Oreochromis niloticus: one gene and its partners. The protein of the gene in region 1 purifies or fractionates together with the protein of each later gene. This does not show direct contact. Links are inferred from orthologs where the notes say so. Each region holds a gene or a part of one and is shown in the gene's direction. Other genes may lie near its edges. The genes, in order: eif2b1, eif2b5 and eif2b3.

The links.
Region 2: the proteins of eif2b1 (region 1) and eif2b5 purify together in Homo sapiens (affinity purification with mass spectrometry; 7 studies listed by BioGRID and IntAct, counting the BioPlex papers as one, with this or other methods). This does not show direct contact. The link is inferred for Oreochromis niloticus from reciprocal best matches to the Homo sapiens genes EIF2B1 and EIF2B5.
Region 3: the proteins of eif2b1 (region 1) and eif2b3 purify together in Homo sapiens (affinity purification with mass spectrometry; 7 studies listed by BioGRID and IntAct, counting the BioPlex papers as one, with this or other methods). This does not show direct contact. The link is inferred for Oreochromis niloticus from reciprocal best matches to the Homo sapiens genes EIF2B1 and EIF2B3.

Annotation. Positions count from the first base shown.
Region 1 is NC_031972.2:11,326,106-11,336,077, reverse strand, and holds eif2b1 (translation initiation factor eIF2B subunit alpha), read left to right. Parts: upstream 1-982; 5' UTR 983-1,281; coding exon 1,282-1,294; intron 1,295-1,375; coding exon 1,376-1,477; intron 1,478-1,992; coding exon 1,993-2,129; intron 2,130-3,362; coding exon 3,363-3,479; intron 3,480-3,579; coding exon 3,580-3,692; intron 3,693-3,772; coding exon 3,773-3,841; intron 3,842-3,934; coding exon 3,935-4,010; intron 4,011-5,194; coding exon 5,195-5,320; intron 5,321-5,409; coding exon 5,410-5,565; 3' UTR 5,566-5,608; downstream 5,609-9,972. Other genes in the region: ATP-dependent RNA helicase DDX55, read right to left, coding at 5,686-5,835, 5,918-6,204, 6,330-6,498, 7,433-7,547, 7,652-7,744, 7,834-7,965, 8,146-8,228, 8,339-8,531 and 2 more.
Region 2 is NC_031982.2:7,151,685-7,161,656, forward strand, and holds eif2b5 (translation initiation factor eIF2B subunit epsilon), read left to right. Parts: upstream 1-3,436; 5' UTR 3,437-3,659; coding exon 3,660-3,818; intron 3,819-4,042; coding exon 4,043-4,167; intron 4,168-4,253; coding exon 4,254-4,439; intron 4,440-4,526; coding exon 4,527-4,704; intron 4,705-4,791; coding exon 4,792-4,872; intron 4,873-4,957; coding exon 4,958-5,035; intron 5,036-5,127; coding exon 5,128-5,440; intron 5,441-5,532; coding exon 5,533-5,678; intron 5,679-6,476; coding exon 6,477-6,621; intron 6,622-6,766; coding exon 6,767-6,868; intron 6,869-6,956; coding exon 6,957-7,058; intron 7,059-7,598; coding exon 7,599-7,689; intron 7,690-7,787; coding exon 7,788-7,911; intron 7,912-8,030; coding exon 8,031-8,156; intron 8,157-8,282; coding exon 8,283-8,393; intron 8,394-9,494; coding exon 9,495-9,557; 3' UTR 9,558-9,750; downstream 9,751-9,972. UniProt on the Homo sapiens protein: Acts as a component of the translation initiation factor 2B (eIF2B) complex, which catalyzes the exchange of GDP for GTP on eukaryotic initiation factor 2 (eIF2) gamma subunit.
Region 3 is NC_031982.2:15,475,161-15,485,132, reverse strand, and holds the start of eif2b3 (translation initiation factor eIF2B subunit gamma), read left to right. Parts: upstream 1-4,662; 5' UTR 4,663-4,970; intron 4,971-9,568; 5' UTR 9,569-9,583; coding exon 9,584-9,731; intron 9,732-9,972. UniProt on the Homo sapiens protein: Acts as a component of the translation initiation factor 2B (eIF2B) complex, which catalyzes the exchange of GDP for GTP on the eukaryotic initiation factor 2 (eIF2) complex gamma subunit.

The DNA of each region.
Region 1 (9,972 bases):
GTGCTTATAAGCCATTAAAGCCAAGTGAGCCCACTAAAAATCATTACTGACATTAATTATCAAGTTTAATTTAATTCATTAACATTTTAAAATATGTATTTTGTTATGTGTATCGGTGTTTACATTTTTAGTTCATATACTGTGGTACAGGTTAAAGGTTTGGGAGCTATTTAGCTATATTTGAGGCTGTGAAACGTATCAAGATTAACTGGAAGTTGAATTATAGAACAATATCGAAAGTATGTGTTGACACTTCACCCTGTGTAAGCAGTATACTTAATTTCATAAATGACCCGTAATATTGCAGTGTAGTTCTATTAAGGTACATAATTATTGTAAATGTTAATTAATGTGTAAATGTTATTATATTATAACTGCTGGTATGAAGACATATTTCATAATAAACTTTGTTTTATGCTCTTGTACCTCTTCATGCCCACTATGCCCAGAGGACACTAGAATAAGAAACACTTATATTTCCTTTCAGTTACATTACAGAATGGAATAAGCAACTTACTTATTAGATGTCTGTGCTTTACTGTTCATGAACATGGATGGATCTGATACCAATACAAAGTTCAAATGGTTTCTCACCAGTTGTTTTGTCTCTGACTCTCATATGGTCTGGTTGTCTCCCGTTATAGGTAAGTGAATCTCTTTAGGATTTATATGTTTTAATAGAAATTTCTATCTCTCTGTTGTTGATTTATGGTCATTTCATTCACTTTGTGGAGATTCTGCATTACTATGTTACTATTTTACAATCTTTGCTGTTATTTTCTTTCCTTTTGAGGTTACAATATGAGCTATTTGCATCATTTTGAATCTTGCCACTACGGTCACTTTGCCATTTGTTGTGGTTTATAAAAACAAACAAACAAAAACAGAAAACAAAGAAACAAATAAACGAATGAAAGAAAAAAGAAGAAAAGAAAAAATCACATTTCCAACTTCACGTGAACGGCACGGCGTCTGGGAGACGTTTTTGTCCTACGTCATTACTCTGCGACACGTCAACCTGCCTTTTGCAGGATGAGCTAATGGTGTGTAAGTTGGAAATAGTGACAGGAGCAACTTTTAGACAGTGTTCAGTAGGTTTTTGCTTACATTCAGAGTGGGGCTGACTTAAAACAATATTTCGAGCGCTGTGAATATTTTCGTTTGAAAGAAGGAGATAGTGAGCGGAGTCAGCCGCTCTGGCATGTGTCAGAAAGAGTGCACTGACTGAAACCTGTAGAAATCTTCTGTGGTTTGCTTTTAGGCGCTGTTGTTGCTTTCAGGATGAACAACGAAGGTAAATTGCTTGATTTTAAAAATAAATTTCTGCTTTTTTGTGTTAGAAATATTAACTGCATATCTCTGTGCCTTGGGACAGAGCTGGTGGAGTATTTCAGGGATCAGATGAGGAAAGACCCGGACATGGCCTCTGCTGTTGCTGCCATCCGCACTTTGCTTGAATTCCTCAAGAGAGATAAAGGTTAGTGTTATGCCCTTGGTGTTAATACAGACACGTCTCGGCTTTTTCTTATTCTCGCTTGGATGTGGAGAAGAAGACCTGAAATTTAGCCTTTTTGTGTTTTCTCAATTTGTAAATAGTTTTTTTTGTAGTTTCTCTGGGATAATTATGTGGGCCAAGATCTGAAAACAGCATCTAGAGTGTTTCAAATATCTGAAACAGTGCTTTAAAAAGTTACTGAAGCTACTGAAGCCCAGATGTCAAGTCCAGTTTTAAATCTTATAAACAGCAAATGTACTGTTTATAAGATTTGGGGAAACCTGCAGTCAGCTGAGACTGAAGAAGTCACTTGGATGAGTGACGAAACGTTTCTCCCACAAAACGCTACGTCCAGATGAACAGATTCAACTTTTGGAGATCCAGTTTTAAAAAGAATTATTATTTTTTTCTACCATAAATAAAATAAAGATTTCACAGATTTGAAAGAGCACTGTAAGGAACTACTAGGAACTACAAAGCTGTCTCTTCCCCTTCAGGCGAAACAATCCTGGGGCTGAGGGAGAGCCTTACGTCAGCCACAGACTGCCTGACAGGAGTGGACTCCTCTGTGGCCGTTTCCTCGGGAGGGGAGCTCTTCTTGCGCTTCATAAGCCTCACATCTCTGGAGCACCAGGTGAGTGAAGACAGTTTGGCGTTGGAGATTTAAACATTGAACAAAATTAAGCGTGAATAACTTGAGTGAAATCATCAGAGTGCTACCAGATCTGTTGTATGTTATCGAGTCAGACCTTATGGATGCTGTGCAAGTGCTACTGTTCTCGAAAGAACTTTATTAAAAGAGACACTGCAGTTCTACAGCAAAGTTATGGTTCATATAGGAGAACAAATATCATCAAAGTAAAGAAAAAACTGTTAGGTGGAGGTGTCACAATTGGAAAATAGTTGTGATTATTTTTCGTACTCTTCTGCAGCTGATGGCTGGTTGAAGCCTGGAACTTACAGACATCACCAAAGAATGTATTTCGTCCTTCATGACGTTTGCCAGGCCATTACTGCATCTGTCTTTAGTTACTGTTTGTTTATGGTTCTGTATTTTGTTTTGTCTTCAGTGAGTGAAACACAGTTTGATCAGGTTAAGACAACGTGATTGACCCAACAGCTTCAGGATATTCCATTTCCTGACCATCAAAAACTCCAGCGCTACTTTTAGAGTGTATTTTGGATCATTGTGGGACTTTGCTGGATATGACTGGTTTTTTTTGCTGTAAGCAGACATGATAGCTCTGCACACCTCAGTATGCATTCAGCTCTGTCTGTTTTTCACATCACTTATAAAAATTAGTGACCTTGGAACACTGGAAGCCAAGCACACCCCTCCCATTTGCTGCTTCCACCATGTTTTATTGAGGCTGTTATTTGTCTCAGATTATAAGACATTCCAAAGCTTCTGTGCTTTGTTCTCTCCTTTCTACTGCAGGTTGTTCTTAGTTTCATTTGACCAAACTTTCAGCAGTTTGCAACTTTCTTGCGATCTTTGTGATGTGCTTGTTTTTTGCTGACTAGGGATGGCCTGTGTAAGTTGCTTTGAGATCTTCTCTGACTCTATATTCCGAATTCAAAGAAATGGCTTCCAAATGTTACACACATTGTCCAAATGTCACATTGTCAATTTTGGAACATCATTCTCCTTCCCAAAAAGAAATTTAAATCAAATTAGTTCTAGCACACATTGTAGATGCAAAAGTGCAAGATTTTAGAAGAAAGCACATTAGGAGGAACTTAGAAATAGCAGTTTTGCTGGAACTGCTATGGAGATTGGCTAGATTTAAAGAGGCTGCACCGTATGTTTGCATGATCAGACCTGTTATCTTAATCCAAGGCAGATGCTAACATTTATTTTTTTCAGGACCTGTCTCGCTGTAAGAAGGTGATGGAGGAGAGAGGAGAACTATTTTTAGAGAAGATCTCCATGTCAAGGACCAAGGTCGCCAAGCTCTGTCACACCTTTATTAAAGATGGCGCTGTAAGTACGGAACACAACCTAATTCTTGCTCTTTACAGGGAAAAGGTTCAGTGATGCATTTTTTTTTTCCTTCTCCCTGGCCTCTCCTTGTCTCTCTCAGAAAATCCTGACTCACTCCTACTCCAGAGTTGTCCTCAGGGTGCTGGAAAAAGCTGCAGCTGAGAAGAAACGATTCTCTGTCTATGTGACTGAATCGCAGCCTGACGCAGCTGGGTGAGGGAGCAGTCTATATACTGTATTCTAGTCTTACTCTGAAACGACACAGGCTTATTTATGTTCTTTTTTTTATTCAGGCAACACATGGCAGAAGCCCTGAGGAAACTCAATGTTCCAGTAACGGTCGTGCTGGATGCAGCTGTGGGGTGGATACAGATGTTAATAATATCTGATTTTAATGTCATGTCTCTTGTCAATGTCATTTGCATTAGTTTTGTATTTTTTGTCATTCTTTACAGATACGTCTTGGAAAAAGTGGATCTAGTCATCGTTGGTGCTGAGGGAGTTGTGGAGAGTGGTGGGATCATCAATAAGGTGTGTTCCAGTAAAAACTCAGATGCTCTTCAATTGAATCTAATTCAAATCAGTGTCAAAATGCTGGCTATTGCTTCTTCTTTGGGCCTCTCTTGGCCACCTGTTTTTGTTTAATTATTTTTTTTGTTAGTGCCATCAACTCCAAACCATACATCAAAGCATTTTGTAGTCTAGGCTAACCATAAATGACGCTTTATGATAAAACAAGTGTGTTGAAGGTGATCTGTAGTTACATTTGTAACATGATGCATGTCAAGTTACAGCACAGGGTTCTCTGTGTTGTATTCTGATCATTTTATAAATTATGGTCTCCATCAATGTCCTGAAAAATCAGGGCATGCTTTACTGTGTGACTGCTCACTTTTCATATATAGTTTGTTTTAAGACACCAACATGGAGACAATGAAAATGTTTAGTTTGGGGCTTCATAACAGGACTTCGCTAACCAATGATGCCTCAGCGATATCATGGCAGCTACATCTTTAATATACAGCAGGGGTCTTAATCTTAAAAGAGCTGTGGGCCACTGCTGGGACTGTCATCTCATTTGAGGGCCACTTTAGAGTTTTAGTACTACAAAAAAAACCCAAACAAGCAAGAAAACACCCACAAATATTTCTGAAAATGTAGAGTTGTGTTTTGGTTTTGTTTTTTTTTGTCAAATATTGTATAACAAGACAAAAAAAAAGTTCTCACTCTTAACTGAAGCCTTTCACTGAACTACCAAATTGACTCTTTCTGACCACGTGTCAGCACTGCTATAATTTTGTTCGTATTTAACAAAATAAAAATACAGACATAATTGTACACATTAGTTTTTGACTGCTAGTGAAAATTGTTTTCTTTACAAATAACTCTCCCACTGAACTAACAAAGCCATTCTCTCAACATGTTCTTCCTGCTCATATTGCCTCCATATTAAATAATTTTTTGCTTTTTAAACATTGCACTCAACAACAAATAAATCCTCTCTAACAAAAAAAGTAACTTCAAGGGCCAAATTCTATTTTATTTGTTCACCTCAATATACGAGTTTGAGATCCCTGATATACAGTCTGTTTAAAACTGTAACTTTATGGGACATTTTAAAATTGTGACTCGGGTTGCACTCTGTTCACCCTAAAAGTGATAAATGTGACACTGCTTGTGATACAATAATAGACTTTGGTGTTTTGCTCTTGCAGATCGGCACTTATCAGATGGCTTTGTGCTCCAAAGCACACAACAAACCCTTCTACGTCGTGGCAGAGAGTTTCAAATTCGTACGTCTGTACCCGCTCAACCAACAGGACGTGCCAGAAAAATTTAAGGTATGACTGTACAGATTTTCTTTTTCTCTCCCCCCCCCTTATTTTATATTCAGAAGTTTTCCTTACATATCTTTTTTGGGGCTCAACAGTACAAAGCAGACACCCTGAAGACCGCAAAGAACCTGTCAGAAGAACATCCAATTATTGATTACACACCTCCCTCCCTCATCACCCTCCTCTTCACTGACCTGGGAGTCCTTACCCCATCTGCAGTCAGCGATGAACTCATCAAACTTTATTTATAACTGCTTCACAATTCTCCAATAAAAACTACAAACAAAAACGAAATGTGTCAGAGATTTAATTCAACTCTGGTGGATACATCTGAACAGCTGTTATATTGTCCATTGTCTTCTTCCAAACTGTTACGGTTCTTCTGTTTTGTCTTTCGACTTTGCTCCACTTGTTATCTGTTGCTCAAAGTCCTCCTCACTGATTTGGCCTTTCTTTAGTTTCTTGAGGAGACGAGTGTCATCTAAAAGCTCTTTCAGGTCTTCATCATCCACATCTGAATCCTGCAGAAACACAAGAGTTAAAAGTGTAGTCATCAGATGTTTTTAATTCATCTAACCATTAATGATGAGTGAACGGAAATACCTCGTTATGCTTTCTCTTGGCTGCCATCTTTTGCCTGCGTTCCTTCTTGCCCTTCTGTTTAGACCAGGCCTTATTTTTTACAAAGTTCTTTTTAGGGAAGGGAGTCTTGTCTTTAAGCTCGGCCAGTGCTTTCTGTCTCTGTTTCTCCCTGTTCTTGTCTTTGTAACGGATGGTGTCTGTGTCCACTGTCGTCTCAATGAAATCAGGAAACGTTTTGTCCTTCAGTTCAGGCATCCTGGGCAGGCGAAGAAGTGCAAAGCCACGAGCCAAGCAGCCAAAATCCAGATCTATACATTGGAAATGTGACACAAATTTACATTTGTCTGTTTGTGGGTACAACAAATATGTATTTGAATAATATTTAGGATGCTCTACATGTGTGCTTGCTGATTGATTGATTTATTGTTTTAACCTTTGGTCCTGAAGATGAGGCTACATTCATGTTTGGCGTAGGCCTGGACGTACGAGACAAATGCTTTCTTCCCTCTTTCGAACATGGCCCGGTCCTCCAGAGCCATGGCCTTCACTTTTGGCAGTACATCCACCACGTCTTTTATTGGGGACATCTTCTGGAGTGGACACTGGAGAGTAGATGAACAAGATGAGATTTGTATATTGCAGGTTCTATATTGTGCACCTTATAGTTTTCCGAAGAATTTAGCTGTGAATGGGAAAAAATATTTCCAAGAATTTCCTTTGCAATTTGATGGAACTTATTACCTGAAATGAAAAAGTAAGAGTGACTACAGTTAAATTTGAAAAATGAAAATATAACAAAAAATGACAAATTGTATATTAAAAGTCAGAACATCTCAAAGTCATATCTATGTTCCACAGTGGCCCTGAGATGTCAAACACACTCCTCAAAAACACAGAAAACACAATAGAAGTTGAATAACACACAATGGAAGCAGAAAAAATAAATCACAAAACATAATGGAAGTGTTTTTGGGGGGACAATAATGTGACGGACCAGCTGTCAGAAACCAAAACATGCAAAAATGTGTACTTTTAGATGTAAATATTATCAACAGCAAATTTATTTCTGTTTTCCCCTTTTGGTTGCAAGCAATTTTTAAATAATTCTAAGCTTTCATATAAAGATATAATCCTAGTACACTTAAACCCTGTACTTGTGTTGGATTTTTAAAGGTGTGGGACATTACTTGCCTACAGATCATTTAACACTACTGAGAATGCAGGTGAAAGGAGGCTTACATTTTCTTAAATGTTGGGGGAAGACCATTTAAAAAAACACATTGCTTCATACAACTGAACAAATTACAAATATGCAATGAAGGAGCTGTGACACTGAGGTTGTTTACTTACATAGTCCTCGCGATCATGTGATCACCTAACCTGACTGCTGATGTTCTGAGTAAGTGAACCATACAATTAAAAGAGGTCCCAAGTATGCTGAACTTGCTTCATAGTACAGACTCTCGGTTAGGAGCAACCAGAGCAGAGAGCCGGTGTGAAAAGTTACTGATCACTTTCAGTTTCTGCTGAACTCACCTTCTGATTGATGGACAGGAAGTTAACATAGGTTTCCTCCATTGGAAGCAGGAAGACAAGTGCATCGCCATAATTACCAATTCTTGCTGTTCGCCCACATCGATGTACAAAGGCACTGAGTCAGACCAAATGAATAAATAAATGAAATAAATAAAATGCAAAAACAAGAGGTGCATACAGTGAGCAAAAGATCCAGTTATGTAGTCAGTACTGACTCACCTGGCACTGCTGGGAGGATCATACTGCAGCACCCAGTTAACATCAGGGATATCGATGCCTCTGGCCATCACGTCTGTGCACACCAAGATCCCACTGCATGACACCCAAGCAAAAAAATGATGTACAAACCCCCTCCCAAAACAGCTATAATACTGTACCTGTACAGACAAACTGAATTTTACCTTTTTAGTTTCCGAAAGTCAGCAAAGATACTGTTGCGTTTATGTTTCATCTTGCCGTGGATGCAGTGGATGGTGACCTTCTTGACCAACATCTCTAGAACTCGACCATAATACTCCACACAAGCACAGGTACTGACGACGAGATGACAACGAATTATGTCATAACAGACCTAATCGGACATGTCACGGAGAAAAACATTTTCCAATAAAAGAAACTGTTGTCATGACAATGAGTTTGCAGTCTAGTGGTTCGCACAACACACAAGCAAAGTTGAAAGCTACCAAGTTTTTTTGTGCACCACTTTAACTTACCTAAAGAAGACCAGAAGCTTCTCATGCTTGTGCTGCCTCAGGAAAGCCACCAGGTTGTTGAACTTGTCCTCTGCTCTACAAATCTGAAATATAAGCATGAGATTTTTTGTTTCATTGCTACACTTTTCTACTTTAATGAATAAATAAATAAATAAATAAATAAATAAAGGCACTGCACTGCTGATTCTCTCACAGTGTAGTAGTTGGAAAGCCTGGAAGGGGTTTTCTGGGCGGTGGCAGCAGCGGCCAGGCCTTTCTCTTTGACGGTGATCCGTACGGGGTTCCGGAGGCCGGCCCTCACCAGCTTCTCCAGCTCCTGGGTCTGAGTGGCTGAAAACAAGCCTGTACGTCTCTGCTTAGGCAGGTAACCTAAGATGGTGTTTAGACTGGATACACAAATACAGACTGTTACCTATAACGAGTTAAAACGCACTACAAAATTCAAACACACAAAGTATTTGGATAGTTCTTATTGGCATGCTCTGTGCTTTAACATTGGACTTCACCAGCAGTGAAGCACAAAAAAACTGCAGTTCCTCTAACAGTCACTAGACCTTTTTTCAAAACTGAGTCAATCCCCATAGCCCAAATGCATTTGTGTTGCTTTCTGAAGAGGTGCTATAGGCCTCAGCATAATTTCTTCTGGCATTGAAAACAATAAATGTTAAAGAGTTTTTCCATACCTAGCCTCAAATCCCATGTCAAGCAGTCTGTCGGCCTCATCTAGAACCAGCACATCCAGGCTCTTAACTGAGCTGGCCAAGTCCAGACCATCAGACTTTCTCCTGAACATATCTTCGAGGCGTCCCGGTGTCGCAATCACAATGTTTGCTCTGAGACACAGATGCACAAATTCAAGAGGTCTGGATGTTTTTAACGTGATTCTGTGATGGATAGCACAGGAGGTTTTGATATAATACTCCTGGGTCCATTGATATGAAGAACCATTCAGAAAAACTAATTTCATTAACACAGCCCAATTTTTACTTCTTAACAGAACAAGGTTGTGGATCATTGTGCTTATAATGGATATATTTCAGTCCAGCTGAAAAACTGTGCCAGTTGTGTGTTGGTGGAAAGGCCCTCAGATCATCACATACCCTTTATCCTTGAACTTCTCCACATCCTCTGCTGGGTTACTGCCACCGATAAGTAAAATCTGCCTGAAAAACAACAAGTCGGAAAACATGAAAGACTTCTCCGATCATTAATGAAGTAGAGGTTTATACAACCGGTTACTATTTCAGTCACAGTTCAGTTAAAATAATAATTATGCTTTTCAAGGGGTTTTACTTGTATTTTGTAGGTGACACAGGCTCAAAATAATAACATGATCAGTGATGCACTGCTATTTGTTTAAGGAGCAGAGTGGCAACTTTACCTCATTCGACTATTACACATCATATATCCTGTCTGCACACCTTCATCAGTTTTATATTGCTTTCAGTAACTGTGACAGTACCACAGTAACTGTGTCACATATGTAAATGGGCACATCGCCATGGTCTTTTCCTGTCTGCTATAGAATCAGAATCAGAATCAGAAAGACTTTATTTATCCCCAAGGGGCAATTAAGATATAATGGCAGGTATTTATTAAAGCCACTATTATATACTGGGATATTTCGACATTAATCTAAAACACTTTCGTTCTTAGATTATGATGATGATATTTGACAACCTCTGACACCTCAGTATATATCAATAATGAATTAACGACCATTAGAATAGTTTCCAGTTTTATCCAAGGATAGCTGTAAAGGCAGAGGCCACCCTCACTAACTTCTGACTTTTCTAACCACACTCTTAAAGACAGACTTTTTCACCA
Region 2 (9,972 bases), on another chromosome or scaffold:
AGACCTCAGCTGCCCATCGATGGGCCGTGGAGACATGCAAGTTTAAAGAGCTTCCTGAAGAATGTGGATGCAGGCAAAGAGGAGACGGGTAAAGTTTCTGAACTTATTCACAGCTTGACATTATGAAGAGAAATATCTCTAACCTAAACCTGTGCTGCTTTCCTTCAGGCTGTGAGAACGACTGTCAGATTGATGGAATAGCCAAACTGGCTCCTATAGTGGCTTTTTATGCAGGACAGCCTGACATGCTGGAGAAGGTGGAACAGGCCATCCGTGTCACCCAGAACAATGATGAATGTGTGGCGGAGACTCTAGCAGCAGCGAGGTCAGGACATCTTCCAGGCACACCAGTTTCACTTGTTTACACATATTGGATGTGAGAATTGGCTAATTAAGGGTTATTAATAACAACTTTGTTTTTAACCTGGAAACCACAATAGACTATTAGATCTGGTAATTAAAATTGGGCATAATAAGAAGTATTTGGAGCAGAGAGTATAAAAATAGGGAAGAGAACACGTTTCACATTTTAATAAACTGATCAGCCACATGAAAGCTGATTGTCTCTAAAGATCGTTCCAGTTTGGCTGCATGGTTGATTACATCTTTCTCTGTAGTGAGGCAAAATCAGAACGCATATTTAATACTGTTCTACAAAGATGTATAAAGAAAAACATAAAACGGAAATGTTCCACACTGACTTCTTTTCCCAGGTTTCTGGAACATTTCATCCTGAATGGTCCAGATCCAAAAGCCTTGGACGCGGTGCTCAATCAGCTTAATGACCCAAACAGAAAGCAGCCTCAAGATTTAGACAAAGCAGTCATCGGTACGTGAGGCCAGCAGCATATTTCCTTCCCTGTGTTAAAGTCATGAGACCGACTCATGTGATCAAAGAGTTTATTTTACCTTATTCTCTGAAGGTTCAGTTCCAATGTGACATAACGATGATAGGATAAAGAGATATGCAGAGAGTTATGTTTAGTATTTCTGTTAACATCTCATCTTATGTTTGACTCACTACTGCACCCTCTCTGCCTGATTTCAGGACACATCCACCAGGTGAAGGAGAATTTATCCAAAACTCCGCAAAAGCTGATCCCCTCTGTCTTCACAAATGCATGAGGTATCTTTGATAAGCTCCCTCAACCTCTGACATCAGTGTAGTCCTTAACAGTAACATGTGGTATAAGAGCACTATGTGTAATTTGGATAGCTGTGAGACAAACCAGGAAAAATGCCTTCATGCCATTCACATCTGCCTCTGATGTTTCAGGTTTGCCGGGTGCGTTCCAAGCCGCGCTGCACGGAGTCCTGACAGCCACTCGCTATGAGACGGCTGTCAAAGACACCATGAGCTGCGGGGGATGCACCTGCAGCAGAGGATCCTTCATAGGAGCCTGTCTTGGGGCTCAGGTGGGGCTGCCTGTTAATCTAATATATTCACGTGCACATGTTTTAAGTTTGATTTATTAAATGTTCTGTTCTCATTCTTCTAGGTCGGACTTGAGGGAATCCCGGAGTCCTGGAAGTCCAAGACCCTGCAATACGACTTGGTGTTGGAGCATGCCAAGAAGATAACCAAACACCTGTCGGCGTAATGCCTTTTAAGAAGGCTTAGAGAGAACAGTGTGACAAACTGTCGAGCTTTGACAGAACAGCGAATGATGGTTCCTGTTTAAACGTTTGGACGGCAGGAGCCAGATGTTTTTGTTTCTGTTAAAGTAAAACAGGTTGGTTCACATGTTCTGTGACAAGATATGGTAAAGATCATCATTATTATAAAAATGAATTACTATTGTAACTACTATTTCTGGGCTCTGTATATGTCATTTAAGCATTATTCATACTGACAGTGTGATTTGTGGTCCAACACAAAATATAGGAGTTTAGAGAAAAAGACTCCATGCACCACAGTTATTGCAAATGATATTTTTCCAATATCCAGTACTGCATTTATGTAGCCACAGGTTGTATCAAGAGCCCATAAACTGCAGGAAGCACATCAGAGATGTAAAGGCTATCAATAAAAAGAAAAATAATACCTGCCTTTATTTATTTTACAGTGTGCTTTTATAACTCACACATCTGTCTTTCCTTTTAGTAGTGAATGAAAATTTTCTTTGAAGCTGTAATAAACTGCTGCACTTGGCCTTCCAGTGCCAGTATCATAACATTAATAAAACATTAACAGGAGCTGATTGTATGAGTATACTGAGATTCCATGTTCCACATGGAGGTCACATTTTTCTTTTATGTCATTTTAAACTTTCAGCAGCTCAAGAGTGATTTTCATTTACACCAGATGAATATTTTGTAATCTCTTTCAAAATCTATAACCACACCAAATTAGTTAATAAAACAGGACGCTGTGTGAAATGTAATTGAACACAGAATGCACTGATTTGCAAACTGCATAAACCCACATTTTATTCACAGAACACAGAGAACATGAAATGTTTAAACTGAGAGGATGTACCATTTTAAGACAAAAATAAGGTTGTTTTAAATTTGATGACACAAGCATGAGGACAACAAAAGACTGGAAAAGTAGGTGGCACTGAAAAGAAACGGGTAGAGGAACATTTTGGAACTAATTAAGTTAGCTGGGAACAGGTCATTAACAGGACTGGAAATAAAAAGAGCATCTTAGAGAGGCAAAGCTTCTCAAGTAAAGGTGGGCAGAGGTTCACCACTATGTAAAAAAACAATTTTAAATTGTGAAACGGTTTCATTATAATTTTCATCCCAATGGCTTTGAATATCTCAGCATCTACAACTCATAATATGATCAAGAAACTGTCTTGAATTGTGTGACTGCGCTCTGAGCCGGTGGCACTGCAATAAAAACAGGCATGATTCTGTCATGGAAATCACTGTGAACACAGCTCACTGTACCATCCACAAACATAGGTTAAAATGCTGTCTTCTTGGGGCCACAGCTCCTTTGAAATTGAGTGAGACATAGTAAAAAACTGTTTTGTGGTCAGACTAATCGAAATCTCGAAGTTCTTTTTGGAAAAGAAAACAGTACTCAGTTCAAAAACCTGATTCTCCGATCAGGTCTATGAGGGTGTATTAGTGCATCTGGAACTGGTAGGCTGTACATCTGGTTCCATCAACGGAACTCTGCTACCTTAGGGCGAGAAGCGGTGAGCACCGTGGACAGGCCTGATTGAAATCATTAAGGAAATGCGCTGATGTCCCTGGTGCGGTGATGGCGGTGCTATATTTATTTCACATATACTTCACACACACACTTTGTGGCTTTTCGCTGTAAACTGTAAATTGTAATGTTAATGTAGTGAGTACACTGAATAGGAAACCCCCCCCAACAACGCATAGATGGATCGCTCATTAAATCTAACATATATATATATGTGGAAGTGGTGTTGTTTCAACTTTGCGATTTGGCACTGTTATCATACATGCGTTGTTACGCAGTGGTTTTACCTGTGCGACAACATGAGATAAAACTAGGCGCAGTGTATGTGGCCAACAAAATTTAAACTGTAATTTTCTTCACGCAAACGCTCTCGCGGGGATTGTCTGCCACTTTGCGTGCCAGCGCAATAATACTGTTAATAAAATTGTCCCGCTGCAGCTGCCGTAGCTGTGTCTGACGAAAGCGTTTAGTACCTACTACCTGGGAGTCAAACATGGCTAGTAAGGGGGGGAAACAAAGTCGGTCGGCGTCTGGCCTTTCAGGCAGAAAAGGTGCAGGAGACCAGGAGGAAGAGGACCAGCCGCTGCAGGCGGTTTTAGTCGCTGACAGCTTCAACCGGAGGTTTTTCCCAGTGACCAAAGACCAGCCGCGGGTAGGCAGTGAGCTAAGCTAACCGGAATGCTAATGGAGGCTAGCTTGTGTCCATGCTGTAAACAGTGACAGTGCATCACTCACACGGATGATGAAAGCATTTAATCAAACGACACTTGAACTCGTGCTTGTTGCTGTCTGTACAGTAGTTGATAAAATGAGAGAATCACGCGAGTCTCGTGATTGTTTAGCTCCAGTTAACTGTCACATTTTCATTGATGACAGGCGCTGCTGCCGCTGGGTAACGTTGCCATGATCGACTACACCTTGGAATTCCTCACTTCTACTGGAGTGCAGGAAACATTTGTCTTCTGCTGCTGGATGGCCAGTAAAATCAAGGCGCACTTGCAGTGAGTTTCCCTGCTGCTGCTGTGTGTGTGAGCTTTTGTTTTCTGAGGCTTACTGTATGAAAACTTATGAATATTGTGTCTGACAGGAAATCAAAGTGGTGTCGACCCAGTTCTCCAAACACTGTCCACATCATTACTTCGGACCTGTACCGCTCCCTTGGGGATGTGCTACGGGATGTTGATGCAAAGTCCCTGGTGCGCTCAGACTTTGTATTGGTTTACGGAGATGTGGTATCCAATATTGATATCAGCCAGGCTCTGCAGGAGCACAGGTAAAAGTCCACCGGCCAGCCTTTTTCTACATGAGAAATGGTGTTGATCTAAGTGTTTCCACAAGGCTGAGTTTTTGCGCACTTTAGGCATCGCCGAAAGATGGACAAGAACATCTCAGTGATGACCATGATCTTTAAAGAATCGTCGCCGGGTCACAGGTCTCGTTGTGAGGAGGACGATGTAATTGTGGCCGTGGACAGCAAGAGCCAGCAGATTTTACACTATCAGAAGACACAAGGGCTCAAGAAGCTACAGTTTCCAATGGTAAACAGTTGTATCTTTGGCAGTCTGTTATATCTTTGATGCATTTTGGGGTTTGATTGACTTTTTGAGTTTTTGTCTTACTTGCAGAATATTTTCCACAGTGGAAGCGATGAATTTGAAATCAGACATGACCTCCTGGACAGCCACATCAGTATCTGCTCCCCGCAGGTCGGTTTTGGGCCACACAGGGGAAATATTTAACTGTCATTGTTGGCTGCAGTAACATTTTTGTTTTTGGTGTCCTTTCTTTTAGGTTGCTGAGCTTTTCACTGACAATTTTGACTACCAAACTAGAGATGACTTTGTTAGAGGGCTTTTGGTCAATGAAGAGGTACTATGGAAGCATTATTATGTTGAAATTTGAATAATGGCACAAAAAAATATTTAGAGCATTTCTGACCCTTGTTCATTTTCTTTGTTTAGATTCTGGGCAACCAGATCCACGTGCATGTCACAAAGGACGGTTACGGTGTCCGAGTGTCGAACCTTCTAATGTATGACTCAGTGTCGTCTGACCTCGTGCGGCGGTGGGTCTATCCCCTGACCCCCGAGGCCAACTTCACAGACCAGGAGGGACATAGCTGCACATACTCTCGCCACAATGTCTACAGGGCATCTGGTGTCAGCCTGGGCCATGGCAGCCAGATGGAGGAGAACGTTCTTATCAGCTGCGATACCAGCATCGGTGCCAACTGTTACATCTCGAACAGTGTCATCGGTGACAACTGCATCATAGGTGAACTCTCTGGCAGCACCACTCAAAGTGCTTCAATTTTTAAGTTATAGAAGTGTAGTTAACATTTTTCTTTTATTGGTTCACTGCAATAGGTGACAATGTAGTCCTGGATCATGCCTACATCTGGAATCATGTTCACATTGCCAGTAATGTGGAGATCATCCAGTCTGTCATCTGCGACAAGGCGGAGGTCAAAGAGGGCGTGACTCTTAAGAAACAGTGTGTTCTAGCATACGATGTAAGCTCCACATCATCTTTTATATCCAATTGCAAAGCAAACTCTCTCTGGTGTCAAATTGATGTTGCATTTTAAAGGCGTTATAGCAATTTTGCATAGATTTTAAGGATATTGCATTTTGCCATCAAGACTGGCAAATTTTCCATTTTTCTTGACATTTTTTTGCTCTTTTTTTAGAGAAAACATCTGCAGATTTGACAAAAACTTTTAAAGGATCTAAAATGGCTTGTTATTACAGAAATATAACCACAGCAAATATCTGGTTCTTAACTGGATTTTGTGTAGTAGCTGTGACACTCTGGAGTCTAGTAGAGATGCCACAAATCTGGGCAAATGGGCAAAAAATAATCTGACATATATCCACTGCAATGCCACACTATGTCAGATATTGAGCAATACTGATAGAAGAATTTTGGTTTTAGTGTCTGTGCAAAGTTCAGCCAACCAGTTGGTTGCCTGTTTCCTTCATATTTAGTCTTCTGTGCTCTTTTTTATGTCCAAAAGTAGCTTTGATTTACACTAAAAGAGAATGATTTTACTAGTCTTAATCCAACTGGAAACAGGGTTTCAGATTTGGCTCACAGTCTGCTGGCTGTTGCTCCTTTGCACCTTCCTGCTGCAAAAGAGAAGTAATTACCCACAGTAGTACTACAAATATATAGCTATTGGTACACGTGCTTAGTTCAATGCATGAAATCAGGGACGTGCGTTCAGTGATCGTCTTGTAAAACGTCATCAGATATGAAGTCATATTTGCAGTATCTGCATATTTGAATGTTTCTATGAACTGTTTTACAGGTGGTAATTGGACCAAACATCTCTCTACCAGAAGGCACCGTGGTGTCTATGCACCATCCAGAGGAGGAGGAGGAGGAGGATGACGATGAATTCCTCAGTGATGACGCTGAGGTTGGCCATAGATCGGACAAAACCAAACAGAAAGGTGTGTATTATTGACAAAACAAATTTCCCACGTGTGGGACTAATAAAGGTTATCTTATCTTATCTTATCTTATCTTATTAAGTCTGTATTAGATCAGTTTATATGTTATCAAGCTGCTTGATGTGAATGTTCTCCTGTCTTCCAGTTTTCAATCCTGCAGAAGTTGGAGCAGAAGGAAAAGGCTACATCTGGAAGGCCAGCAGTCTGGATGACACAGAGGAAGAGGAGCTGTCGCAGTGTCTCTGGGGTAGAGCAGCAGTTCATCGTCATGGAACTGGCATTTCCCATGATGCTTCAGCTGAAGTCCCAGCATGCTTCTTTTCGTGTGTTCCCAGGCTTGGTGTTGAACCCAGACCCTGAGAGTGATAGTGAAGATAGTGAGACTGATGGGCCTGATGACCCGGTGATTCCTTCCCCTGAGATGGACGATGTCAAAGGTGAGAGGGCATGTCTCATTTAGGGATGATCTGATATCGTCGTGTTGGTGTTGTTCCCAGATCATCATGAAAGTGTTGTTCCAGGATCAACATTGCAAGTGACCAATCAGAATGTTGTGACGTTATTCTTTTGCGCGCCAAGCCATTCGTGCATTTATGAAATTCAAATGTTGCAAGGACAATATCAATTCTGCTTGCCGTTTATTAAAGGGTTAGGGTTAGGATTAGGGTCAGGGTCCGTTGATCGGTGGACAGAGGCGGTTTCTCGCAGCCTAAGTACAGTTTTTTGTTTTACAGCGGTTTTTCCCGAAGTCCCAAAACTATGACGTCACAGCATTCTGATTGGTCACTTGCAATGTTGATCCTGGAACAACATTTAGTATGATGTTCTGGGAACAACACCAACACGACGATATCAGATCATGCCTCATTTAGCTAGCCTGCATGTGAAACTATAATACTGCCCCCTACTGGCCCGAAATGACAACACAAACTGCAAAACCAATAATAATACTAATACATTTTTTTTCCCTTATGTAGTCTTCCACATGGAGGTGCTCGGGACCCTGCAGAGAGGTTTGGAGGAGAACATCAGCTGTGACAACCTCGTACTTGAGATCAACTCTCTAAAGTAAGGGGGAATTGACTCACACCTGTGTTGCTCCTCTTTGCAGTGATTGTTGCTTAGTTTGACATTTCCCACTCCCCCTCCAACCCCTCCTTTTCCAGGTATGCCTACAATATCAGTCTGAAAGAGGTGATGCAGATTTTAACCCGAGTGGTACTGGAGTACCCTTTCCAGCAGCAGGGCTCACATCTCACCCCTTCACAATACGTTGCTCTGCTTCTGCCGGTGAATAAGATATAGGTCTATTACTTTTAATATGACAAAACAGAAGCTCAGAAAAAAAACGAAAAACTCTTAATTATTTTCCTTCTTTTTTTCTTCTTTTTTCTTTGTGCGGCTGTCAGCTTTTGAAGAAATGGGCGCCGGTGTTTAAGAATTATGTGAAGAGAGCACAGGACCATCTAGACTGCCTGTCTGCCTTTGAGGAACACTTCCTGGAGCAGGAGAGCCACTGGGCTGCTATGGTCAAGGTCAGGAGCAATTAGCACTGATACGTGCAAAACTGCATTGTTAAAATTAATTGTTTGAATTGTTTGCTGTGTCTTTATCCAGCCTGTTAGGATGAGGATGAATATGCTGATTTGTTTGTAACTCAGGTTCTCATGAATATGTACGAGCTGGAAATCTTGGAGGAGGAAATGATACTGCGCTGGTTCTCTCAGGGAGCCACCGGTGACAAAAGCAGACAGCTCCGCAAAAACCAAGGGGTAAGTACAGTGTGAACTACAGTCTACAGGAGACAGCACAGAGCAGCAACAGAGTTTAAGCTCAGTATTCACGTTATGAACAAGTTTAGTGTAAATTTATGTATATATAAAGAAAGGAATTACAGTACTGTGCAAATGTACAGTTGAGCTACCCCCAATTTTTTTATATTTTGTTTCCAAGAGAGCCAGACATTCCTGTAATATTTTAATTGTCCAGGCTTTCTGAAAATCTTTCAGTCTTTCTTCGGACATTGGCTGCTTTTTCACTCACTTTTAGTCCAGTCCTTGTACCTGATCTTTTTCAGAGGAATCTGTTTTGTCTGTTAAGCCACTTAACACCAACCTCCTTTAGTCGATCCATCTACTGTTCATGAAGCCTCATAAGAACCTGTGTCAGTAGAAGAGTGGCTGTCAAGAAGCCACTCTTAAGGAAGTGAAACAGGGAGACAAGTCTGAGGTTTGCAAATTACACAAGAAGTGCTCTGAAAATTATTGGTGACAGATCTTACAGACTGATGAAAGCAAATTTGAAACTTTCTGGTTCACATTGTTGATAGTATGTATGCAGGTCAAGAGAGAGGTACAACAGTCAGTGTCTGCAGTCATCTGTATTACACTGTGGAGGCTCATTCATGGTTTGGAGATGCATTGCTCCCAGTGGTGTTGGAGATCTTGTCAAAATTGGTACTCTCAGATTTTGATTCCTAATACAGTAGCATCTGATAGGCAACAACTTCATCTTTCAGCATGATAATGATCCCAAATACGCTACCCAAGCAGTAAAAACACACCTGTGACTATGCTGTATCCACACCTGGAGACAAAAACATGCAGTGAAACACTATCATTATCATGGACTGGCCTCCCCAGAGCCCACATCTAACATTATTGAAGCAGTGTGGGATCATCTTGATAGTGAACAGAACAAAGGGGTGCTGTATCTGTGTTTAAGAAACAGCCTATAAACTCCTCATTTACTCACACCTGAGCACGAGTATAGCTTTATATTCACTGCCTCTGCAGTGAATATAGCTTTATATTCACTGCCTCTGCAGCAGTTTCATGGTTTCTAACAACCATTTATCCGTTTCTCTCCAACAGCTGCAGAAGTTCATCCAGTGGTTGGAAGAGGCTGAGGAGTCTTCAGAGGAGGATGGAGAGTAATGAGGAGCAGTTTAAGTTATGACAAGGTCAACTCTTACCCTTCTGCATCTAGTTACCATCCGGACGTGCTCTGTACAGCTGAAGTGGACATATTTTAATCACATTATGCCACGCCGTGTAAAGGCTGGTGTGAATGTCAGTATCCAAATAAAGGACCTGTGGTCTGCTTGGAATAAAGGGTTTTAACAAACAAGTGTGTGTTATGAGTTCAAAGTATTGGAGATGGATACAAGAGGAAAACCAAAATAACAATACTGGTCCGGCCGGGTTGAGTCAAACGATGATTTTAATGAACACACGTGTGGGAGATGGGACACTGCATGCAGACAGCATCAGATCTCAAAATGGTGGAGCATTGCTCAAACTCTTATAGCCTCTAGTGGCCCCCACCTAGTCATAAAAGCTTAAACATTCA
Region 3 (9,972 bases), on another chromosome or scaffold:
ACTAAGTGTATCTCTCTTATATTGTAGCTTTTTAAAGGCTAAATTTATTAGCAATTTAGTGAATTAGTAAATTTAGTGAATTCAGTAATTTAATGGATACAATAAAATACCCCAGACAGTGTTTTTTTCCTTAATTCTCTCTGCCTTGCTCCCATTTTCAAACACAAACACTAGTGTTTCTTGCTCTCCATTTCTACATCTCTCTGATCCTCTCTCTCTCTCACACACACACACACACACACACACACACACACACACACACATCACTGGCGTGCTCACACACCAGCAGACAAACACCTTAACCTCAAACCACACGCTAGGTGCAGACAGGACCACACATACTGTCTCACACACAAAATGTTTGGAATGCTATAAACATTTATTTCAGTTGAAAAGAAGATTTTTACAAGTGCGTGATGCGTACATGTGTGTGCGCGCACGTGTGTGTGTGTGTGTGTGTGTGTGTGTGCATGTCCGCTTTTTTTTCTGCTGAACAGGAAGGCCACCAGATCGAGAGAGATCAAACATGACCAAACATTTTGGGTGTGTTGTCCATAAAATGGGACAGGTTTATACATAAAAAGAGTTAAATCCATAGCTGAGTCATCGCTTACCCACAAAATGTTCCAAAAGGAGAGCGATTTATTAATTTCGTACATTTATGCTTTTGCTTTTTAGGGGTTAGATAGTTACAGAGTTAGTTACAGAGTTAGGATTTGAAAACTTTAGGATTTGTTAACTTAGGTTATAATACTGTAGTCTATAAAAATTCAAGTTTTTGCATTTAAATAATATATAACACAGTTCAGCAGTGTAATGTAATGATCTGGTGTTCATCCCCAATATAAAGGTATCAATTAGATTGATTTGAAATGAATGATCTCTAAACAAAAGGTACAAAATGTTCCATATACTTTTGTTTTTATTGCTATAGAGTGTATATATAAAGGTGTGTGTGCATGTGTGTCTGTTCGTGTTTGCCCTGTGTGGTTAACAGACCTCCCAGAAAGTCCATCAGACAGAATGTGGCCAAGCAAAGACACACAGACGCAGACAGCGAGCTGCAGTTCAAATGATATGGGCAAACTCTCTCCTTTCTTCTTGCAAAATCCTCCCTCTTCCATTAGCACTTTTCCTGTATAAGTCTATATTAATCTTCCTTTGTTACCACCTTAGTAGATCTTCAAAACAGCCTTCCTGTACAGCCTTTATCGCACAGAGACGATTGAGAAAGGCCTTTACAAACTTGACAATGACAGCCTTTGCGTTTGCAGCACGCTTTTTAAAAATATAATCATTTCACTTTCAACAGCTGCTATACTCTGTTACCGAAGATCCAGCATTTACCCTCAGACTCATGAAGACCACAACTATTTTACATTTAATTTTCAGAAAAAAGGAATTGTCTTATAATTGAGTAAATACGGAGTCTCGTAATGGAAAATGTGGCAGAGCGATAGACAACAATTGCCAGTATTGTAGCTCAACAGGGAGGGATGCAAATGGATAACATGCACAGTCAGATGGGTTATAGAGACCCTCAAACAGCATCTTACAGAGAAAAGTGCCAGCGCCCTGCAGCAGGGAGTTGTCCAGCTTTTCCCACTCTGGCTTCTCAAAACCCAACCCAGATATTTCCTGGTTCTGACACCAGCTTGGCTCTCAGATCCCTCCTGAAAGCAGAGAGAAACAAGAAGAGAATTACTCCAACTGTGTTCAAGTGAAAAGGAATGAATTTCAAGGTCTAGTGACGCAGACTGTTGAATGTCAGGTGAAAAAAAATGACATTTATTTGCGAGTCCCCAAAAAACACACTTTATATCACAGTTGTTTGACATATAACATTTCACAGCTGGTTTTGAGGCTGATGATGAACAAATTTGCATTCTGGGTTTCAGTCCAATAAAACAGTGACAATGGATCTTGTGAAGTATTTCATAACAAGAGGGAGGTTTTTAGCATGCAATAAACGAAAGTGCATTCGCAGTAAATTAGTAGAAAAAAACTAATCACATCACCGAAGGAATGTAAAACAGTTTCTGCATCGCTGCCACAGTGAGACATCTTAATCTTTGAACTGCGAGCATGTGCGTTCATCTCTGACACTGACTGGGCGAACGTGCCGGTTTTAGTTTCCATAGCAGTGGTAAGGGCCCCACAGAGCACTGGCCCTGGAAGTGGAGCAAACACAAACCACAGTATAAGTATGTGTGTGCGTGTGTGCGTGTGTGTGTGTGCGTTTGTGTGTGTGCGCATGTGTGACTTTGTATGTTCTGCAGTACCCACCTCTAAACTCAGAGGGAGGCTTCAAACACACACACAAACACACCCATGCATGTACACTCACACAGACTCTCGCCTTGGCTCTGTTCTCTCGCTGGGTGGTCTGTGCTACAAATGTTTATGATCTAAACCAAGCTAATCCAACTGGCTTGTTTCAGTGAACTGAGAATGATTTACAAGATGCTGCAACAGAGCCAAGGAGGGAGAGGAAATCAGAGGAAATCTTAGGGCTCCATTTCAAGTCACTCAACGATTAGACCTGCACGACTGTCTCCATGTCTGTTTGCATGCATATCCCCATCTGGTTCTGTCTCGGAGTTGTGGCATTCTGTTTTGGACCTTTTTTCATTTTGTCTTCCTCTAACCGCTCAGTCGGATGTCTTCATTTCTGACAAATAAAGCGTATTTTGAAAATATGTAAAATACATACGCTCGGGGAATTTTTTAATTTACATGTGATTCCTCTTTGCCTCATTTTTCAATTCTGTTTTCTTCTCCCCCGTTTTCCCCACATATATCAAAGAAGCCCTACAGTGTGTCTCTGTAGGGCTCCTCCTTACAATGAACATGCTAAATGAAGAGAGAGATTGTTCAATAGCATTTTCTCTATGTGTATGGAAGGATATCCTTAGGGCAGTATATGATGACAAAGCCTATTAGAAACCTTTCTGCAAGCAAACCAGAGTTTGCTGAAAAGCTTCCTTTTTTTCTATAGTCGGTCAAAGCTGCATTAAAAATAGAGAGATTAAAATGACAGTTATTGAGATCTTTAATAACCTTGAAAAGCAATAATATAAAGAAAAATGAATATGAATGTAGAAGTATGGAAAGGATAAGCAAGAAACATTGATGTCTGAGGGGAGGAGGAGAGAAGCTGAGCCATGTAAGATCTTTGTACTTAATTAAATTTTTAAGTAATACGTAACTTAGCATAAAACACATGCACATCTCATCAACTGGCCAATCACATTGTCTGAGCAATCAGTTAGCATTAGCCAAGAAGTTATCTATTGCTATTAAAAACTAAAACACTTACCATTTATTCCAGAAGAGAGTTTATGTAAACAAACACTTTTTTGTTTTCCCACCACATTCCAAAGTTTTTACAACACAACATTATTATGACTCAAGAACAACACCATCACAAGGATATCACATCCACTATAGAGGAAAACTCAAGTATTGTGCAGATGACATCACACAAAAAACTTCTGTACTAACCCCGTTTATTATTATTATTACAAGAACAAACAAACAAACAAAAAACAACTTTGATATCCTTTTAGACATGTTTGCTATCTTGCTGTTTGAGCTTTTCTTGTAACTAGCCAAGTTCTCTAATGTCTCACACACTTCAGCTCCCTGTGGTTAACCAGCTAAGTTAAGTAATCTTTGTGGTCTTTATTTGACTTTTACTGTGGCCTTTTTATTATTGTTTTCCTAGATTCCTTTGTATGAACTGACAAAGATGCCACCTGCATACTGACAACACCTTGCAGGCTTCAGAAGATGATAAACAGAAATGATCATATGTCAGTTAAAGTATGCTTTTATAAGATAAATAGCATATGGGATTGTTTGATTTTAGAGTTTGTTCTTTTGTTATTTGTCTACATGGCTCTTCTGCGCTGCTTATCTGACTTAGACCTCAACTGATGTTTAGCAATACTCAGCCAAGACAATGAAAAATCACAGACAGCAAATGCAGCTGGACACCCACTTTTTCAGCAATCACCATTCACGGTGGAGAAATTGCATTCAATAGTTTCGGCATTATGGTGTTTGGGCAACAACAGGCAGTCAGGCCTCTTCGTCTCTTTGTTGTTTTCTTTTTCTCTCCTTCTTCCCTCCCTTCTCGTGCTTGCCTGGCTTTGAGCAGGCAGTAACGAGCAGTCAAGCTCATCTCCTGGCCAGAGCAAACAAAACCAGAGCCACATTCCCCGAGCTCAATTTGCTGTTACGTCTCAGCTCTGTGAATTGGGATTTTTCTAAGCTTTAAGTCTAAAGGAGTAGCTGTTTGGCTTCTGGCCGCTAATCTGCTCACATTTTTACTATGTGTGAACATTTGTAATTCCTGGTACCACAGCTTTAAAAAAAAGAATCTTCTTTATCTCTTTAATAATGTAAAACAATTATCATCATCATCACTCGGAAAATTAATTTAGTATAAATCATAGTTTAGCTTGCCAGCATGATGATATTATACCCTAGCAGAGTGAAGTTTTTTTTTTCTTCTTAAACAGATCTGTTCTTCTCAACCATACCCATTCCTCCTTTTCCTCTTGTCTGTAAAAAACTTCAGTCTATGACAAATCATGGTCTAGTTTTTCTCCTATTCTCTGATCGGAACCATATTACAGAGGAAGTAGTTTCCCGCACGGACGCATTTCACTAAAGGCACGCAGGTGTCATCATTAAAATGCTAGTTGCTTAGCGTCTTTTGCGTAATTACTGTTAAATTATTTAGCGAGAAATCAAATATCTGTTATTTACTTGTATTTAAGTTACATGTCGGTTTTCAGAAACGTGTCCGGTTGGTTGTAATCTATCTCTGAAAAAGCGGCATCGTTTACTGCTCGCTGCTAGTCCTTAGCCGAGTGCTAACAACACTGACGGCAAGTAAGTTACATGCGTCTTGCACCGCTGTCATTTCGAGGCAGCCGAACAGCTCGGAGGGATTCTGACAGGTAGGTAAAGTTTTATATCTCACTGCTTCGGCTTTGAATTAATTCTTAATTCAAACTGATTTTTAAAGGATGGGTGTGCACTCGGTCAACAGGGTATGTCCTGAGCACACATGCCAGTTTGGCGCTAGTGGTTACTACAGCGATGACATGGTAGATATAAAAGATATGTGAAAGCGGACCTGGATTGAGCCGTCTGTTGCGAGTGTGTGTGCAGCACACCTAACCCGGCAAATATAACATTCCGTACACTCGTACACTCTGTTATTTAGAGCAGGCGCTGTGTGAAGCACATGCTGTACTGAGACTAAGAAAGCTATGACTGTAGGAGTCAAATAACTGCGCGATTTTAGATGTCATATTTCATCATGATAAACACAATATGCAGATTCCTCCTCTTTTTCCTTATTTTCAGCACATTCTCGCTCATTGTGGTGCATAATGGCAACCATAGGTGCCATACGTTACAATAAAGCACAGGCATCCTTGTTTACATACAATGAAGCACAGTTGTGCAAACTTGTTGGTGATGCACTGGTATCATGGCGTTGAAGGTGGATACCACTGAATGCTTGGGGAAAAAAAGACATTGGGAGTCCAATCAACAGGTATTAAGCTGTGCATGCTCTTGGAATGAAGGTGAATGAAGCAGTAGGGCTGGGCGGTATAACTTCAAAATTATATCACAGTATTTTAATGAAACTTGCAATAACAGTATTACTGATTATATAGAAAAGAATTCTGAACAAGGTTTTATTGATGCTTGCAGCTTGCAGGCATAAGCATCACTGTAAATAAAGTGTATTTCCATCCTTTTTTTCCATTGATGAAACACTAATTTAAATTCAGTTCAATTTTATTTATATAGTGCCAAATCACAGCAACAGTTGCCTCAAGGTGCTTTATATTTTAAGGTAAAGACTCAACAATAATGCTGATTGAAGTGTGACTTATTGAAGTGTGAATCTATTCGGGTACCAGCACGATAGTGAAGTAGTGATTACATAGCATTACATTCTGGGATGTTGTATGTTGGGTCACCAGCCTTTTAACCAGCTGCTTAATGTCCTGCTTATTCCACCATGTAACCACATATGTAATTTCCATCCACTGTTTGTTCTCCCTGGCATTTAGAGAACAGCTAGTGGTCCTCGGTGGAGCCGTTTGTTTACATTTGCACTGTATCTTCTACTTTATAGTCTGGTTGTACAATCTGTACAATCTGTGGCAATGTGTATTTGCTCCAAGTGCTGAAATATGTTTGTTGTTTTCGCTTTTAGTGGGAACTAGGATATTTTGCAAAGTATGGTTTTCGTTTATAATAAACCGTCAATGGCTCTCACTCTCAGAGATGCCTAGTCTTGTCTCATTGTCGTGTGCACTAGGGAATGTAAATGCATGGTGTTGCTAAGGCAAGAACCTTGCGATAAGACATTTTTATATTGTGTAAAAGTTACACTGGTATTTTTGTGGTTGTTTTAATGTGGCACTGCCCTAGTTGCCAGCATGATCATGACATTCAGAAATGTTAGAAGCCTGACTCCTGTGCTCATCCATCAGCACCGAGACCTCATTAGTGACACAGTACATCAAGCCAATACCATGAAAGACAGAAAAATACAGTTCTTGATGATCATGATGATGATACTAGTATTTTAGGGAATTCACAGTTTCAGTCTTTTGAGTAGGAGTGCACTGATCCTTAACATTAATGTCCTAACTTTGTAAAATGAAGTCCGTCTAGCATCACTGTTCAGTCACACAGGCTTCAGGGCTCGCAAAATTTCAAAATCCCTGGTAGCCCTTCGGGCAGGGACTCTTCAGTTTGTGGTAGCCCAAAATAAATTTAAGTAGCCCGATTAAAAAAGAGAGCAATTTTTTTTTGATTGATGGTTTGTTTCCTGTTTTGTTTCCGTTACAATATTATACATTAAAGTATAATATTGTAACGGAAACAAAACATTAATCAAAACATTGTTGAAACACAAATTAAACATTGTATAAAAATTACAATCATCAACTCAAATACTTGGTTCTAATTGAACAGAAATTTCTATGCACTTGTAAGAACTGTGTAGAACATGAATCAGTCTGTGACAGGTCCTGAATTTGGAATTTCCACTGAAGTCACGGGTAAGAGATAAGTGAAACCAAGATCTAGGACATTTTTTTTTGGAAGTTTGCAAAGACTGCTAAATTTTGCCAATGGTAGTTCACTCTTTGCAACATAGTACGCTGTTCTAAACAGATTTTTCAGGTTTATTTTTAGTATGTTCTTTGCAATTGGTGTTTGTTCTGGGAAAGATATTGCAGACTGAGCAATATTGCATTTCTTGCATTTCTCATGGGTTCTAATGGGGGTCTTTCTTAAAATTACTGGTCCCAGTAACAAAGGCGCTTGTCGACTCAGAAATCGAGGGAAAACCAACAACACACCCGGCAGAACATTGTTATTTACAGGGGTGCACATAAGTGGTCCGCAGGTGCGCATTTGTTGTCAAAATAAAAGACGCGCACCAGATAAGAAGTTGCAACGCGCGTTTGCGTACATATAAAAGGCACTGTTTTTGTCCGCTAGAGTGGGATTTTCACGGCATATTCTGCACCACATCTCTGTGTGTTCATCATTTGTTTGAAGCCAGCTCACCTCCTGCAACCACTTTTCCGAGAATACGCGCTTCTTTTGCGGTTCGGACTCCTCCTGACATTTCTTTGGAGGTGGAGGAACACCAAAGTAATTGCTTAAAGGAGCTTGCTTCTTCGACATCTTTAGGAGTTCTAAACAAATGTCTGTCCTCCTCCAGAAAATCTGGAGGTGCGCGTTGCAACTTCTTATCTGGTGCGCATATATATTTATTTTTATTTTTTTTTTGACAGCGAATGCGCACCTGCGGACCACTTATGTGCACCCCTGGTTATTTAGCTTGTCATATTCCAGCCACAGAAATTCTTTTGTCCATGAAACCGTAAAGCTGCACTTTCTTTTTCCCTCATAGTCTGATTTGTCATAACTTTTCCGTTTTGTGGTAGGCTTTTCTTTGGCTGCCCCTTCTTCACCCTGACTTGTCTTGTTTGGCTCAGCAGAGCTAAAATATATATCCTGCTGCTTTTACACACGCACTCGCATAACGGTCAGCGATTCTCTGCGCAATCAACCTCTCACATGTTTAAGCTTGCTGTGGGAGATTTCACTTGTCAGGTTTGAATAGTAAGCTAATGAGTGATAAGACGATGTCAGAGGAATTGGTGCGCAATTAATCGTCACTCACCAATCAGTACTGCCGCTCTCTATACACAGTTCGCGGGATCGCAAAGTGAAAGCAAAAAACAAGCGCAAATTCAAACGCGATTTCAATATGTCACATATTGACAGTGGCTCCCCGATGCCAATGACGTAATTATCCAGCTACATTTCCGAAAGAATGCAAAAGCATTGACATATATTTTTCCTTCCTATGATAGCCCGACGGGCAGGACTGAGATAGATTTTGGTAGCCCGACTGGAAAATTCGCTAGCCCCGGGACGTCGGGCTAGTGATTTTGCGAGCACTGGGCTTGAGAGTAAATGAATCATAGAGAGCTTGTCAGTTGTGTCAATTCACTTGACCACAGATTGCAATTTTACAAACTACTAAACATCTGAAGCAGGTGTGGAATGCCTCTAAACTGCTAACCTTCTGTCATTAGCTTCCTGTATGCTAGCCAGCTGGGGCCTTTCTGTGTGGAGTTTTCATGTTTACTGTGTTCCTCCTACAGTCTGAAGATATTCATGGGGTTAGCTTAATTGGTGTTTGTAAATTGACTGTAGGTGTGAATGTGAGCATTATTGATCGTCTCTGTGTTAGCCTTCTGTTAGACTGGCCGTCTGTCCAAGGTTTACCCTGCGTTATGTCCTGTGACGGCTGGGATAGGCTTCAGTGGAAGTGGAAGAGAAATGGATGGATGTATTCATACTTTAAATCATAGTCCTCCAGTAAAACCAGGTATCCATTGAACATATCAGGGTTTAAGTCATTTGAATGAATGACATCCTATGGGCAGTTTAAAAAGACAGAAGGGGTGATGAAGCCATTAGTTTCTGTTGGAGCCCAGAAAATATCAATTTGCAATCTTTGCTGGTGTGAGCTAAGACTTTTTGAATAAGGTAAACAGGCTAGAGCAGAGGGAGTGTCACTTGGAAGACTGACTGGAGTATATAGCTGAGGCACACAGCATCATCAGTATGTTATTTGTGTACATTTTACACATTTTACTTAAAATGAACAAAAATGTAGGAATAAATGCATTTAAAAACTAATAATTAAAGTAATAAAAAGACATTTACTTCTTTAACAAGGATCTGTTTGTGTTCTTGTGCATGAACTATATTGAACTGATGTACAATAGCCCATTTACCCATGGTGTACATTTACATTTAGTAACTCACATTGTTGTTAATATGAACATAATTTACACTTTGTGCTTTAATGTACAGAGTGTTATACACATATATTATAGACAGTATTCTAGTGCTGTATTAATTTGTTGAAGCACTAAGTCTACACCTGTGGTCTGTACTGTATGTTATACGTTTTCAGTTACAATGTCCCCTCCTCTCTTAGCCATCTACAGCAGACATGGAGCTTCAAGCGGTGCTGATGGCGGCGGGTGGGGGTTCTCGTATGACTGATCTGACATACAACACCCCCAAAGCTATGCTGCCTGTTGGCAACAAGCCCCTTATGTGGTATCCCCTTAACCTTCTGGAGAAGGTGGGATTTGAAGGTGAGAGCTAGCAATAAATATAATGCTTCTTTATCTCTTGGTTCAGCTATTATTTCAGCTGATACTGAATATTAAAAATATTATTCATAGGTCTAGGTGTCCATAATATGTGAAAATATTTGTTGCTTTATAGGTCATCTCAAGTTATAAAATCAGGTCTTATATTGTTGCGTACAGCTCACATTAACTGTATTTGTTGCATGTAAGCTTTGTGTAAGTGGTAGCGGGGGAGAAGTCTTAA